Bombyx mori: one gene and its partner. The protein of the gene in region 1 purifies or fractionates together with the protein of each later gene. This does not show direct contact. Links are inferred from orthologs where the notes say so. Each region holds a gene or a part of one and is shown on either strand. Other genes may lie near its edges. The genes, in order: tensin-1; dystrophin, isoforms A/C/F/G/H.

The links.
Region 2: the proteins of tensin-1 (region 1) and dystrophin, isoforms A/C/F/G/H purify together in Homo sapiens (affinity purification with mass spectrometry; 3 studies listed by BioGRID and IntAct, with this or other methods). This does not show direct contact. The link is inferred for Bombyx mori from reciprocal best matches to the Homo sapiens genes TNS2 and DMD.

The regions. Positions count from the first base shown.
Region 1 is NC_085110.1:9,857,359-9,864,334, forward strand, and holds part of tensin-1, read left to right. Parts: intron 1-1,616; coding exon 1,617-1,789; intron 1,790-2,629; coding exon 2,630-2,879; intron 2,880-3,462; coding exon 3,463-3,619; intron 3,620-4,299; coding exon 4,300-4,472; intron 4,473-6,722; coding exon 6,723-6,837; intron 6,838-6,976. UniProt on the Homo sapiens protein: Tyrosine-protein phosphatase which regulates cell motility, proliferation and muscle-response to insulin. Phosphatase activity is mediated by binding to phosphatidylinositol-3,4,5-triphosphate (PtdIns(3,4,5)P3) via the SH2 domain.
Region 2 is NC_085113.1:13,354,298-13,361,273, forward strand, and holds part of dystrophin, isoforms A/C/F/G/H, read right to left. Parts: coding exon 6,781-6,976; intron 6,357-6,780; coding exon 6,245-6,356; intron 5,339-6,244; coding exon 5,218-5,338; intron 4,792-5,217; coding exon 4,659-4,791; intron 4,417-4,658; coding exon 4,276-4,416; intron 4,196-4,275; coding exon 4,063-4,195; intron 3,504-4,062; coding exon 3,375-3,503; intron 3,112-3,374; coding exon 2,988-3,111; intron 2,720-2,987; coding exon 2,642-2,719; intron 1,251-2,641; coding exon 1,138-1,250; 3' UTR 1-1,137. UniProt on the Homo sapiens protein: Anchors the extracellular matrix to the cytoskeleton via F-actin. Ligand for dystroglycan.

The DNA of each region.
Region 1 (6,976 bases):
ATTGCTTAGATGGGTGGACGAGCTCACAGTCCACCTGGTGTTAAGTGGTTACTGGAGCCCATAGACATCTACAACGTAAATGCGCCACCTACCTTGAGATATAAGTCCTAAGGTCTCAGTATAGTTAGTTACAACGGCTGCCCCTCCCTTCAAAGCTAAACGCATTACTGCTTCACGGCAGAAATGGGCAGGGTGGTGTTACCTACCCGTGTGGAATCACAAGAGGTCCTACCACCAGTAAAATTACAGTACATTACATTTTCGACTACATCTTCTTCTTGTCCTCATATACGTGTCCTCATGTCCTCATACGCTTATCTCGAACGGCTGTTCCCTAGATAATTGACCTTCCTTCGGATTGGTTGGGCTTGAGTTGGTATTAGACAGAAGGGACTCGGGGAAAGATGAAGTGACATGTTGTGAAAATGTTACAAGTGCATAGGAATCAGAAGAAATTAGTAATAGAAAGTAGTTAGAGAAGGTTAATATCGTAAATCTGTCGCTCTTCTGATCAATGTTTGAAGTCAGAGGTCTTGGATAGACCAAAAAATACACTACTAATTTTTAATTACGTAGAAAACAGACTTTAATGAAACAATTTTTTATGCGTTAGATAGTCATTTATCCAATTATAGTAAGAAATGGTAATGAATCTATATTTGTTGCAAGATAGAGTAATTAATTCCTTATGGTTCGATTAAATAATACTCAACAATAAATTTTTATCAGAGCGCCCAAACTGGCCAAATTCCAAAATACCTAAAACCCATTGGATTAACAACGATTAAGTTGACTAACAATATTTATTGCATGGAAACTTTGTACAGCTGCTGTTGTCGACATTTTAATAAATTAGTGTATTTGAATATTATGCAAGAATCTCTGTAGCGAGAGCGTGGCAAGGTTTCATCACAATATAATTTAGAAATCTATATATTAATACGTGAAGTAAAAACTTTGTACCGCTTTTTACGATAATTGCGCAGGCGGAGGAGAGAAGAGAAGGAGTTCAGAATGCTAATATTTTTTTTAAATTATGGATATAAAATATATAAAATCAATAAAAAAATCATTACACACACTACCATGTATTTGACACACACAAACACTGATATACATATACTCTTTTGTTTATTGTTAAAATCTGTGGTAAAATTGAGAATAGATTAATATTTTTTGTCTCTTTAATACCGTCCTCGTCGAACCCGTCGCTTGCAATCACCGTCCTAGTCGAACCTGTTGCTTACGACGAAGGGCTCGACGAGTGAATTAACCCATAGACACAGCCCACTGAGTTTCTCGCCGGATCTTCTCAGTGGGTCGCGTTTCCGAGCCGGTGGTAGATTCTGCGAAGCACTGCTCTTGCTAGAGCCAGTGTTAGCAACACTCCGGTTTGAGCCCTGTGAGCTCACCTACAAGTTAGGTGAAGCTGAATTAGCCTCTCGAGCCTATTAGCATAGGTAGGAAAAAAATCTCTTTTATGTTATTTATCTCATGTTTAAACTTGTAATTTCAATTGATTATATAGTCGAATTTCGACTACTGGGGGACCACTAGTAGTCGAATTTAGACTACTGTACCACTAGTAAAATATGAATGTTTGTATGTTTTATTAGGAAAGAGCGGGAAGGCAGTCCGGAGTCCGAATACCGCACGTACAACGGCAGCGTGGGGTCGCACTCGCGCCGCTCCAGCGTGAGCGAGCCGCACCACGTGGCGCCGGACCGCGTGCGGTTCGCGAGGGACACCAGCCACTACTGGTACAAACCCAACATCTCCAGGGACGATGGTGAGCATCGCTCGCTCCTATACTATGTTACGGATCGATCTTTGAAAATAATTATAGAAAAAATAATGCGATCAGTATTCTTTTTTTAAACTTACTGCCAGTAACCTTGAGAAGTTATTATGGCTTGACCGCCATATGACGTATGATGTATGCGAGCACACGGGTCTCAGCCTGGGAGACCTTGCTAAAATCTGCCCTAACAAGAGTAGTGGTTCACTGAATCTACCACTGAAACGGAATCGCGACCCACTAAGAAGATCCGCCGAGAAACTCAGTGAGCTGTGTCTGTGGACTAGCGTCAGAAACAATTGCTTGTTACATAGACGGGTGAATGAACTCGTGAATGCCGCCGCCGGCGTTGAGACATTTGGAAGAAGTTTCTGTGATATCTATATGATTCGAGAATGACTTAATACCAAGCGCTTGATTTGATGGTTTGCCGATTAAAGTAATAAAAATATATATATATTTAATATGGTGTGTTCAAAAGTTAATCTCATGCAGTTAACATCGAATAATTAAAATTACTAGTGGTCCCCCAGTATTCGAAATGCGACAATAATTAATTGAAATTATAAATTTGAACTTTATTCCGGTTCTATTGTCAAAGACTATTATTATACTTCTATAATCACAGATTTCGCCAAGACAAACCACCACTTACCATCAGTTGGGCCGTATGCTCGTCTGCCTACAAAGGCAATAAAAAAGAAAACAATATTAATCTATTCTCAATTTGACCACAGGCTTTAAACAATAACAATAAACACATTTTCATAAAAAGGCGTACAAATTTTTTGCTTCACGTATTAATATGTAGATATTGTTTGGGTTATCCAGCGGTGGCAGCGCTCCAGCAGCTAGAGGAGGGTTCTTTCATCGTGCGGGACTCGAACTCGTTCCCGGGCGCGTTTGGAGTGGCGGTGCGCGCGGGGGGCGGCGTGCGTCACTTCCTAGTGGAGACGGCTCCGCGCGGGGTGCGCCTGCGCGGATCGCCCGACGAGCCAGTCTTCAGCTCGCTCTCGGCACTCGTGTACCAGCACTCTGTCACACCGCTCGCGCTGCCCGTGCCACTGCGCTTGCCCGATAGGTAGCTTTATCTCTTTTTCTAGCATTGCAACCGACATCTAATGCTGTCCATTGGTATTGGCCTTCTATCCTATCTCACTTCTAACAATCTTCAACGATAATCATAGTAATCGGTAAATTCCTGAAACAACAATTTGTTTGTTCCTACCTATGCTGATAGGCTTGAGAGGCTATTTCAGCTTCACCCTAACGTGTAGGTGAGCTCTCGGGGCTCAAACCGGAGTGTTGCTAACACTGGCCCTAGCAAAAGCAGTTCTTCGCAGAATCTACTATCGGATCGGAAACGCGACCCACTGAGAAGATCCTGCGAGATATTATGTGGGCTGAAAACAACAGAAGATTCAGTAACTAAACCTAGATTCTCACACACACACAGACACAAAATTTCTTTTCGCCATGAGCCCAGCTACGTTCAATCGAGACGAGTTTATCTGTATGAGTATAATATGGCTTTTATACCGCGAAATACTTTTTTACGCATACACTCAGCGTTAACTGCGTGATCAGGCCGTGAGATCGTGGGACATAAAATTTCAATTAAACCATTGAAGTTGTGTAATACACGAACGATACTGTTGCACCAGGGATCCATGGTCAGACGGCACCCCCAACGCGGCAGCACGCGCCCTACTGGCGACCGGCGCCGCGTGCCACGTGCTGCTACTAGGCTCCGAGAACACAGAGGCTCTAACGGGACCGGCGGCCGTCAAGAGAGCCGTCGGAAATGTACTGCAGAGGAAGGTATGTCTTCCATTTGGCACAACGTTTCCGAAATGAAACTGTTAAACTATCTGCTTTCAGTAACCAAAATGAAATTAAGGGGTTAGGATATGAACAAAATTATAAATTTGCACCCACAATTTAAGATTATGTAGGTACTTCAAGTTACAAAATTACAAGAAAACTTTTTTTTTCTGGGTAAAACTAGTTACAGACAAAAGGACTTTGTATATGTCATGTACGTTTTTAAAATTATCCCTTCCATTCGATATATTTAAAAAAGATTTGTTATAGAAAACGCTATTGTTTATCAAACTCTTTGAAGTTTCGTTTTTAATTCTAAATTTAATAGGGAAACTTTAAGTTTTAGATTAGTTATTTAGACAGAGTTTTATTTTAAAATGCTCCCACAAATATATGAAATACAATAATATAATTTAATATGTTTAAATTGAACAATTAGGACATGGATATCCGACATATTGTTTGAAGCATGTAACAATAGAATATAGTAAGTGCGTGAGAGCAGACGTAGACACTAATGCGCATGCGCACTTGTCAGTACCCAGGGACGGAAAAGTTACACTTTCTTCCCTGTACAGCGGGACGAAAACCGAGCTTTCGGCGTCGGTAGGAGAAAAAACAATAAAATTATTTATTTTTGTAGTGTTGTTGAGTTTTACGAGTGTGTGATGTTTCAGAGCGCAGGTCACGTGGTCCACTTGAAGGTGTTCGGCGGCGGCATCACGCTTACGGACTCGGCGCGCAAACTGTTCTTCCGGCGCCACTACCCCGCCGCCGCCGTCTCGTATGCAGGACTCGATCCCGACGAGCGCCGGTACACACACGTAGACAACGCTACGCAAACCGAAAAGTAAGACTTTATAATACTCTCATTAACTAAAACCAAGATTCGGTCTCGTTTCGTCTTTTCGCATTAAAAGTGTACAATTTCCAAAAATATTTGAAATTGATTTAATATGCGGAATCATTTGGTATCACCAGTATTTTTCTCGTAAGTACTGTCAAAAGAGCGTAGTTTAGTTTGTTTTTTTTTTTTTGTTTACCTATGTTTTGACTACTATTAACAAAATTAATACATAATTTTATCTTACTTTAAAAGACAGATCACCGGCCGACAAATGAAAATTTTTTGAAAGTTGTTTGTATTTGAGCCACAAATATCACCAATTTATACTATTTTAAACACAAAAACACCTACATATTTGCCCTATCACATCAGAATTTTTTAAAAGAAGGAAATAGCATTTTTTTTCAAAATTTCACCAAAAAATCAATAATCATACTACAAAAAATATATTTGAACATTTACAAAGAAAACGTTGAGTCTAAACAATGCTGCAGGACTATTTAGAGTGACACCATCCACATTCACATTCCATCGACCTTGGTACCTTGTCTCCATAGTTTTTATGTCCTGATGAAACCTTTCTCCCTGCTCTTCACTGTAATCACCAAGATTATCAGGAAAAAATTCCACATGTGAATCTAAAAAGTGGAGTTTTATGCTCATATTACACCCCAATTTTTGATACTTATCCAATAAGTTTGCAACCTTATTTTTATAGTCGGGATGTTTATTATTTCCTAGAAAATTGTTGACAACATCTTTGAACGCCAGCCAAGCATCTGATTCAGTGTTATTCATTGTGGCATCAAATTTTTCATCAGCCATCAAAGATCTGAATTGCGGTCCATCAAACACTGCTTCTTTAATTTTTGCATCAGATAATCTTGGAATTTTTTTACACAGGTATTCAAAACTAGCATTGTTTTTATCCAATGCTTTAACGAACTCTTTCATCATACCGAGTTTGATATGAAGCGGAGGTAGTAAATTTTTTTCAGGACTAATTATATTTTTCGTATAACGTTTTTTGTTCCTAGTTTGAGATTTTTACGAGGATTCCATCATTTTTGAACGTAGTGCTTGTCTCGTGCTCTACTGTCCCACTCGCACAAGAAGCATGGAAATTTTGTATATAAGTAAAAAAGCTATAAAAAAAATATATATATATATATATAAGTAAAACGTAAGATTTTTTTTAAATAAACACACTAATTTCAGTAAAAAGTTTATAAACAAAGTAACTGTACAGGTTTATTTGCATGTAACCTGTTTCGAATGGGTGTGTCGTTGTTGCAACAAATATATTTCCTCACGAGAGGTCGCACGATTCGAGAAAAGAGCGCCAAAATCTAAAATTTAATTTATTTTAATCAAAAAATTTAAAATAGCTAATGTCTTAACTTTTTTAAAAACCTGATGTGATACGATAAAATGAGGTATAATTTCGTGATCAGCACTACCAAATTAGTGGAAAAAAATAATCAGAACTTGAACAAGGAAAATGATGTCGGCCAGTGATATGTAACTGGTAGAAAATAAAAAATAAATGTTGCAAAGATGATTAATATTAAAAATATCACATATTTTAAACCTTTAAAACACTCTCCTGTAAAATTAATAAGTTTTGAGATTAGATAGTATTAATGCGAGAAGACGATTTATTGTATGGGTCAGAAGGACCATCTCACGTTTTGAGAATAAGAAATGATGTGTGGGAGTCGAACGCGCTTCGACTCAATCCGATATTTTCGCCACTCATTGCCTTGTTACCCGTCAGCGCAAAACGCGCAATTAGGAGATTGACTAGATTGTCAATGTCCACTCACCTCGATTAGTCCTCTCGAGACGCCGGACCGATGGTTGGCACACTGTCCAGACCTCGACTAACATACACCATGTCGGCCATATTGAGTCTGGGCACTCAAACATGATTCAACTTGAGAACGTAACCGATTCAGTCGTTGTCATTAATAACAAAGCATAGAGCACTTTGCGTCTTTGTCATAAAGGCCAAATCGTCGTTGAGGATACCAAAAATATTTAGAAAGCAAACGAGATCGTTCCTCTTGTTCCCAGCTCGACCACAAGGAAATCAGAGTAATCTCACTTTCCAGCGCTTTCTTGTACTGACACTCTTGTTCACGCAGTGCTGGCCTCCTTGCTTTGTACAGCGGAATCATTACACCCAGCTTCGAAAATAGCAGATTTTGGTTTGACAACGACGATAAGCTCCTATCACCCTGTTTGTTTTAGACGGATATTCGCATTCGTCGCTCGGTCCGCATCAGGGCAAGACAACCAGTGCCACGTGTTCGCCGAACTCGAACCTGAGCAGCCGGCTACTGCCATCGTCAACTTTGTTAACAAGGTTTGTTTTAACAATTTTTATACTGGTGGTAGGACCTCTTGAGTCCGCCCGGGTAGGTACCACCGCCCTGCCTATTTCTGCCGTGAAGCAGTAATGCGTTTCGGTTTGAAGGGTGGAGCAGCCGTTGTAACTATACTGA
Region 2 (6,976 bases), on another chromosome or scaffold:
TTTTCGTGATTTCGAAACACGCGCCTGTTATTTTCAATACATAGCAAAAATGATATGAGAGTATCCAAACAGTGATATGAATGTATTAATAAAGATTGTAAGTAGGTATAATACTAACAAGATATGTTCTTAAAATATTATTATTTTAGTACCAAAAACATTTCGGTACAATTTTTATTGTTAAAATATATAGAATATAATATATAAATGCTCGTTACATTGTCTTTTTCGTTGGATTGCTGTGTTCTGGCAGCACTGGCGCTAGCTTTAGGGGGGGACAACGAAAATAGTAGAAAATCTGAAAGAGTTGCCACGTCAAATAAAAAATAACAGAAATGGCGGATAGTTCGACTCAATCACGATACGTACTGCAACAATGGCGCGCCCTTATTTATACAATAAGCGTTGCATACGATTATCGTTAATATTTAAAAAAAACAAACAACTGCTGTGAACTAATTTGATTTGGTACATGTTCCATTGAAATTTAACTTTTAATTTTACGGCAGATGATACAAGACACTGATGGGACTACGCAATTTAAAGTTTGTGGTATTTTCAGAAAATATCAAATAGTGATTCATTATAAAAATGTAATCTTAATACGTTTGTTTTCAGTTTTAATTTCCGTAATGCAGTTAAAGAGGCGCACTCTCTATATCCCTTAATTGTTATTAATGTCCTAACTTCTTACGGTATGGTTTTCTTAGTTTAATCAGGAGACTGCCATTTTATGGATTGTATTGTACCAAATCAAGATAAAATCTCGTATTAGTTCCACATAGCTGTCAACTTACAGGCTTCTACTTTTTTGTGATCCCCTGGAAGCCATAAAGCTCAGGTTAGGAAACGCGTGGAATGTTTTATAAAAAGCTTTTGTATAAAAGTTAAGGACAGTCAATGTACAGTGCAATTTGTTAGTGATGAGTCGAAAATTAGTAATCATTAAAAGAAATTGTGACCAACAAGAAATTAATTAAAACGGTATCTCTATAAAGCAACACCATTGTAGAATAAATCTTTGGTTATGCTCAGTGTTGCCAGAACGTTGGGCGCGGTAGTTTGATTGCTTCGAATATAGCAACATTATATTGAAAGCACCGTGCGCGCGTAAGGTTCGCGTCGTTTTCGAGCCGTTCATTCGTTGTTTGCCGGTTTCCCGTTCGTGTACTGCGGTGGCGCGTTGCTCGGCGTGCCGGAGTCCTCGGACATCACCGAGACGAGCTCTTCTACGGCACGGCCCAAGTCATCTGAAAAAGTGTAAACAAATTTAAGCATTATTATGAACAAATTACGAATTATTTTCCCAACTTTTTGGCTGTACTTTTCGTTATGTACAGAATTCCGATGCCTTGTCTTCAGAATCTTGCGTTTTTTTTTGTTGCCTTGTAGGCAGACGAGCATACGGCCCACCTGGTGGTGAGTGGTTACCGTCACCCATGGACTTCAACAATGCCAGGGGCAGAGCCATGCCGCTGCGTTTCATTAAGAAGCTAATTTTCAATGCTAGAATCCATAATAACATTTTAAGATTATGTACTTAATAACTCGCTCAATAAGCTGTATTTTATATTGCGTATAATATACTAAAATTAGTGATCGCAGTTTCGAATAAATCAGCTGCGACACAGACAGAACATTTTTCAAACATTTTAAATCGTAACTAAGTCAGCCTTAGGGTTTGGAGTTCCATATCGGTTATAGATAGGTTCCTTATAGGTTGGGATTAGATATAGTCATTTGTTTTATCCACTCATCACTGCCTGATAGAAAACTCACGTAAAATTCAAGATAACGCGAAATAAGTAAAGGTAAAGAAAACCATGGAACTAGTGCCGAATAATTAAATCCCATGTTTAATAAAAAAAAAAGTTGATTACCTCAGGGTATGCGTCCTGTTTTGAATGCAGTAGAAAACAAAGAGAATGACGATATAATTAATTTTTAATGATTAATTCTATTAGGTTTCTGTACATGCAACAACCATGCAAACACAAGCCTAGATTTCAAATAAACAAAGTTACATCTGGCATCATATTTTAGCAAATATAAATTTAAATATTTTAAGGTTTAAAATTTATCGTGATATTTTTGTGCTGGCAACATTTCAAAAACAGACGAAGGAAGCATAAAACCCAAATTGTGATTACAATGAATTTTAGATTTATACGCAATTGTAGTTTAATCAGTTCACACGGCTTCAGCTGAATCTTGAGTTCACAACACCCAACTTATGACTTAAGTACGTGAAATTTTCATTAAATGCCAAATATATATTTTGACACGAATTCACTCAATGTGAACAGGGATCTCAAGCAAAATCGGATAGCATAGTGTTCAGAGTTTTGACCGATCGGCATTATCCGTTGTTTGGAGGTGGTGACAAGCTTCGTTTCTTTGAACAGCTACGAATCGCATTTACTACAGTACTACTTATTACTACAATACGAATCGTAATTGCCAAAATGATTAAACTAGTTAAAATTCGACAATTCCACTGTATTATTGAGAAATCATTGAACACAAATTATATTTAGATTTTTTAAAAAGCTTGAGTTATTTGAACGTAAATCTTTTAAAATCTAAAACAATTGCACAAAAAGCGAAACAAAAGTGTGAACACATTATTGACACCGCTGACCTGCGCAGTGCATGAGGGAGTGCACGGTGTGCGGGGGCGGGGGGGGCCGCTCGGCGCCAGCCCAACGAGCGCCGCCATCTTGTACGCCATTACAACAAAATGGCCGACGTTATTTAAACGAATTTCAAAGCATTACTTTTTTTATATTTGAACTGACATATAAGTGTTACCAGATTTTTACCATTGTTTTTAATTAGCACTCAAGTCGCTGCGATTTTCTGTCGCTACTCAGTGGTACAGAAAAATCAGACCTTTAAAGTAGTAAACTATAATTTATACTAAGAAATTTTAAGTTCTTAATCTAAATATTTCAAATTAAAAACATTAAAAGCATTACTGAACATACTTGTTTGTGACTCGTGGTAGAGTCCATTGTGCATTTTGGCTGGTGAATCAGTTGCAAGCTGCGAAGCGGTCACCGAACGTGTCTGTAATGTTCCGGTGCGCGCTGGGGGCGAGCCCTGGGCCGGCTGGAAGTGTTTATAACAATGTCAGTGATATAAGGAAATCCATTGGATGCAGACAGCGCGGGACTTGGCAGAGGTCCATGTACGTCAGTGATGAAATACAATTCAAGTTCCTTACACAGTTTAGTTTTGTTTTTTATTGAAAGGCAAACGAGTCCTCGGGCATCGCGAATATTGCCACGTGGCAGCTTATTAATTTTATCGTGCTAGTTTACCAGCGAGGTTGGGTGAGATTGGGTGAGGTTGAGAGGGACTGGACTGCCTACCTCGTCGAGTAAGGTGCGTAGACGCTGCAGCTGAGCTTCGAGTTGTCTGTTGTGTTCCTCCAGAATGTGCATGCGAGCCTCCAGCCGGCCCTTGTGCTGACGGAGAAGACGAGCCTCGGCCATCATGTCCTGAAATATATTTCCGATTCATCGTATGCACTGTGCTGTGAAGACTGATGAATGCACGGGCGAGCTATAGTCATAACCGCAGTTGGTGCCGTAGAGTCATCTCATAACTCATAGCGACGATTCGACGCTAAGTGAATGACGGATTAGAGGGCGGAACACCCCTACACACATCTTGAACTCCTGTCTTAAGGGGACAGCATTCACGCTGTACTGTCGGTATATTCCAGTGATCAGCTAACACCAGGTGGGCCGTGAGCTCATCATAATAAATAAGTACAACTTGTGATTATTATATTTAGATTCTGAGGACTGTTTTGGGACCATCTGTTTATTATTTTATACTGGAACCGCGGTTAGTAGAGCTATGATCAAGAAAGGTTCACAAGCACCAATTTAGTATATTCTAAATGAGTATTTGTATGCTTAGACGTCACAACACATGTGTGACGTCACGTCACGTCAAGCCACGTTACGCCAAGTCCGGTCACGTAGCGCCAGACACAACATCAACATCCCTCCTGTAGAAGCCAGAATTATTTGTATTATAAGTTCCTCTGACCTGGTCTACCGGTCCGCTGCGGCTATTGTCGCTGACGCCGTGCTGCTGCTCCTCGGGCGTGGAGCCTGGAGTCTGCTTAGCCTTCAGACGCTCGTACTCCGCTTGGAGACTTGCGTTTTCTTCTTCCAGTTCCCTATAAATAAAGATGTTTTGAAAGTGATAAGGAATGTTTAACTGCATTGCCCTAACCGCATGTGTCTGTGTGTAGTGTACCTAATCATGGCCTCGAGTTCGTGTCTCTGCTCGCGGTGGATAATGGAGACCACTTGCACAGGCGAGCGAGGAGCTTCTTCGGACTCCCCTCCGCCGTTCAGTGAGGCGCAGTACTGAGCTATGAGCTGATGTTCTTCATCGCTGTAACGGTAAAGGATGTAATGGTTAGTTTCAATTTCATGATAAGAAGACCTAAGAGTAATTATAGCCTTCAAAGTATATTCAATATTCTGTCGATGCGCGAGATCAAAGTTGCGATGGGGTGGGACGGGACGAGACGGGTCGTGGCGTAGCGGAACGGGACGGTGCGGTGCGCGGCGGGGCGCGGCGGGGCGCGGCGGTGCGGGGCGGGGCGCGGCGGTGCGCGGCGGGGCGAGGTGTACCTGTCGGGAGTGTCGGCGGCGCTGAGCTCGACCTGCGCGAGGCGGGTGGCGTACAGCTCGAGGCGCGAGTGCATGTCGGGGCCGAGGGACGCGCCGTGCTGCGGAGAGGGAGCGGGGGACTCCAGAGCATCACCTGCACATAAACAAATTTATTACATTAATTACATTTACCAAGAATTACAAAAACTGTCAATTACAAAAATTCATCATGTGAATATGATATGGCCCCGGAAGGTGGGGCTGTCACAATGCGTTCCCGTCAGAACAATATTCTCGACCGAATTTTTTCAACAGTTGGGTCTGGTTCTTGCTCTCACCCTTAATGAGACAGAACTCAACTGAGGACATGTATAATCTGCCGTCCTTTATAAGATGCGCGTGACCGTACCTAGGTCGTCTTCGTCCTCACACCAGCATACGGAGCACACGGCTAGTTTCGGATAAGATCCCGTTAAGCTTACATCTTAAGTGGTAACGAGGTGCCTAAGTTAAGATCATACAATCAGGTTTTTTTAATTAATTATTCACATCAAATTAACAACTGAAACTATCCTCTTACCTTCTAAAACGGTTTGTACAGGCAAGTACCCGACCCTGGGGTGCTTCTTGAAGTAGCGCGCCGACTTGAACTTGTTGCGGAGCGCCCTCGTGAAGTCGCGCACGTCCTCTCCCGACGTCGTCTGAAGCGAGAGTGACGTGACCAATTGTTTTGTGGGTGGAAACATTTTTTTTTGAAATTACTAAGAAATAGAGGCTTAGCAAATGATAGGGTTTTAGGGGTTCTGTGTTCTGCTCAATTGACAGACTTTTTTTTTATTGCTTAGGTCGGTGGACGAGCTCACAGCCCACCTGGTGTCAAGTGGTTACCGGAGCCCGTAGACACCTACAACGTAAATGCGCCACCCACCTCGAGATATAAGTTCTACGGTCTCAAGTATAGTTACAACGGCTGCCCCACCCTTCAAACGGAAACGCATAGCTGCTTGACGGCTGAAATAGGCAGGATGGTGGTACCAACCCGTGCGGACTCACAAGAGGTCCTACCACCAGTAATGTTATATTAATATATCTGTAGGACACCGCTAAAGAATAAAATCCTGTAAATAGATGTATGTTGAGAGGTTTTTTATTAATACTCTTGTCTTCAGGGTACAGCGAAAGAACACAATGTTTTTGAAGTTATACTTCTTTAGGTGCGTTATAAAAATTGATGAGAGTGAAATTTTATGATGAAGTTGCCCACTAAATCGCTCATTACAATACGACTGACGTAACTTGGTGAGTCTGAATATAGCCGCAGGTAAACTTTCCGAACTGAGAATTACCGAATTTATACGATGTCAAAGTTCAGATGTTTATACAATGTTCAACTTGATTAAAATTTAAATAAATAAAAAAGAAATAAATTATAAAAAATACAGTATAACTTCTTACGCACGTACATAAGTACACGCACCCTTTTTTTTATAATTATCACTGTAACATTTTATCAGATATGCGAGATTGACATTAAGCCTTCCTAGGGATCGATTCATATATTTGCAGTCTCCACTAAAAATGAACGTGTATTGATTGTGCGCACTCACCGCAGTGCAGTACTCCTGCATCGGATGCGTCAATTTGTGGTTCTTGGCCTTCCGGCCGTTGAAGAAGCACTTTTGACACATGTCGAAGTTGAAGCACTTGAGGCAGCGGTACCTGCGGGCGGGGGCGGACCTGGTTAGCTCGGCTCGACCATACAATACTGTATTAGTTTGGTGTCGGTTTTTGGAACATCCGACTGTATGGGCTGTGTTAGACTTTCTGGTATTTTAGCATTTAGTCATGTTGTGTCGTTTCCAATTTAGTCTGGCAGCCAATAGTCTTGGAATAAAATCATATGTTGTACGGTCATAGAATATTACTTTCAGAATTACTGTAAGTTCGCTTTTAGCGATAAGACCGCCCATTGTATCTGCTTGTTGACTGTTTTCTAGTGTTAATTGTGTTTTGGTGTGCAATAAAGTATGTCCTCTCTCTCTCTCTCTCTCTCTCTCCCTCTCTCTCACCATCCCTCTCTCTCACCATCCCTCTCTCTCACCCTCCCTCTCTCTCCCCCTCCCTCTCCCTCACTCTCTCTTACCTGAACCCAACGATAGGATAGTCCTTGCAGATGTTGCACTTGGCTTGGTGGCGGGCCCCCTCGGCGGCGGCCAGGCGGTGCAGCACGGGCAGCCACACCATGGACTGCGGCTCGCGCTGCAGCCACTGCAGGAACTGGAACGCTTCGATGTACTGGACCTGGCCGTCCGCGTCTCGCTCGACTGGCTTCTCTTTCG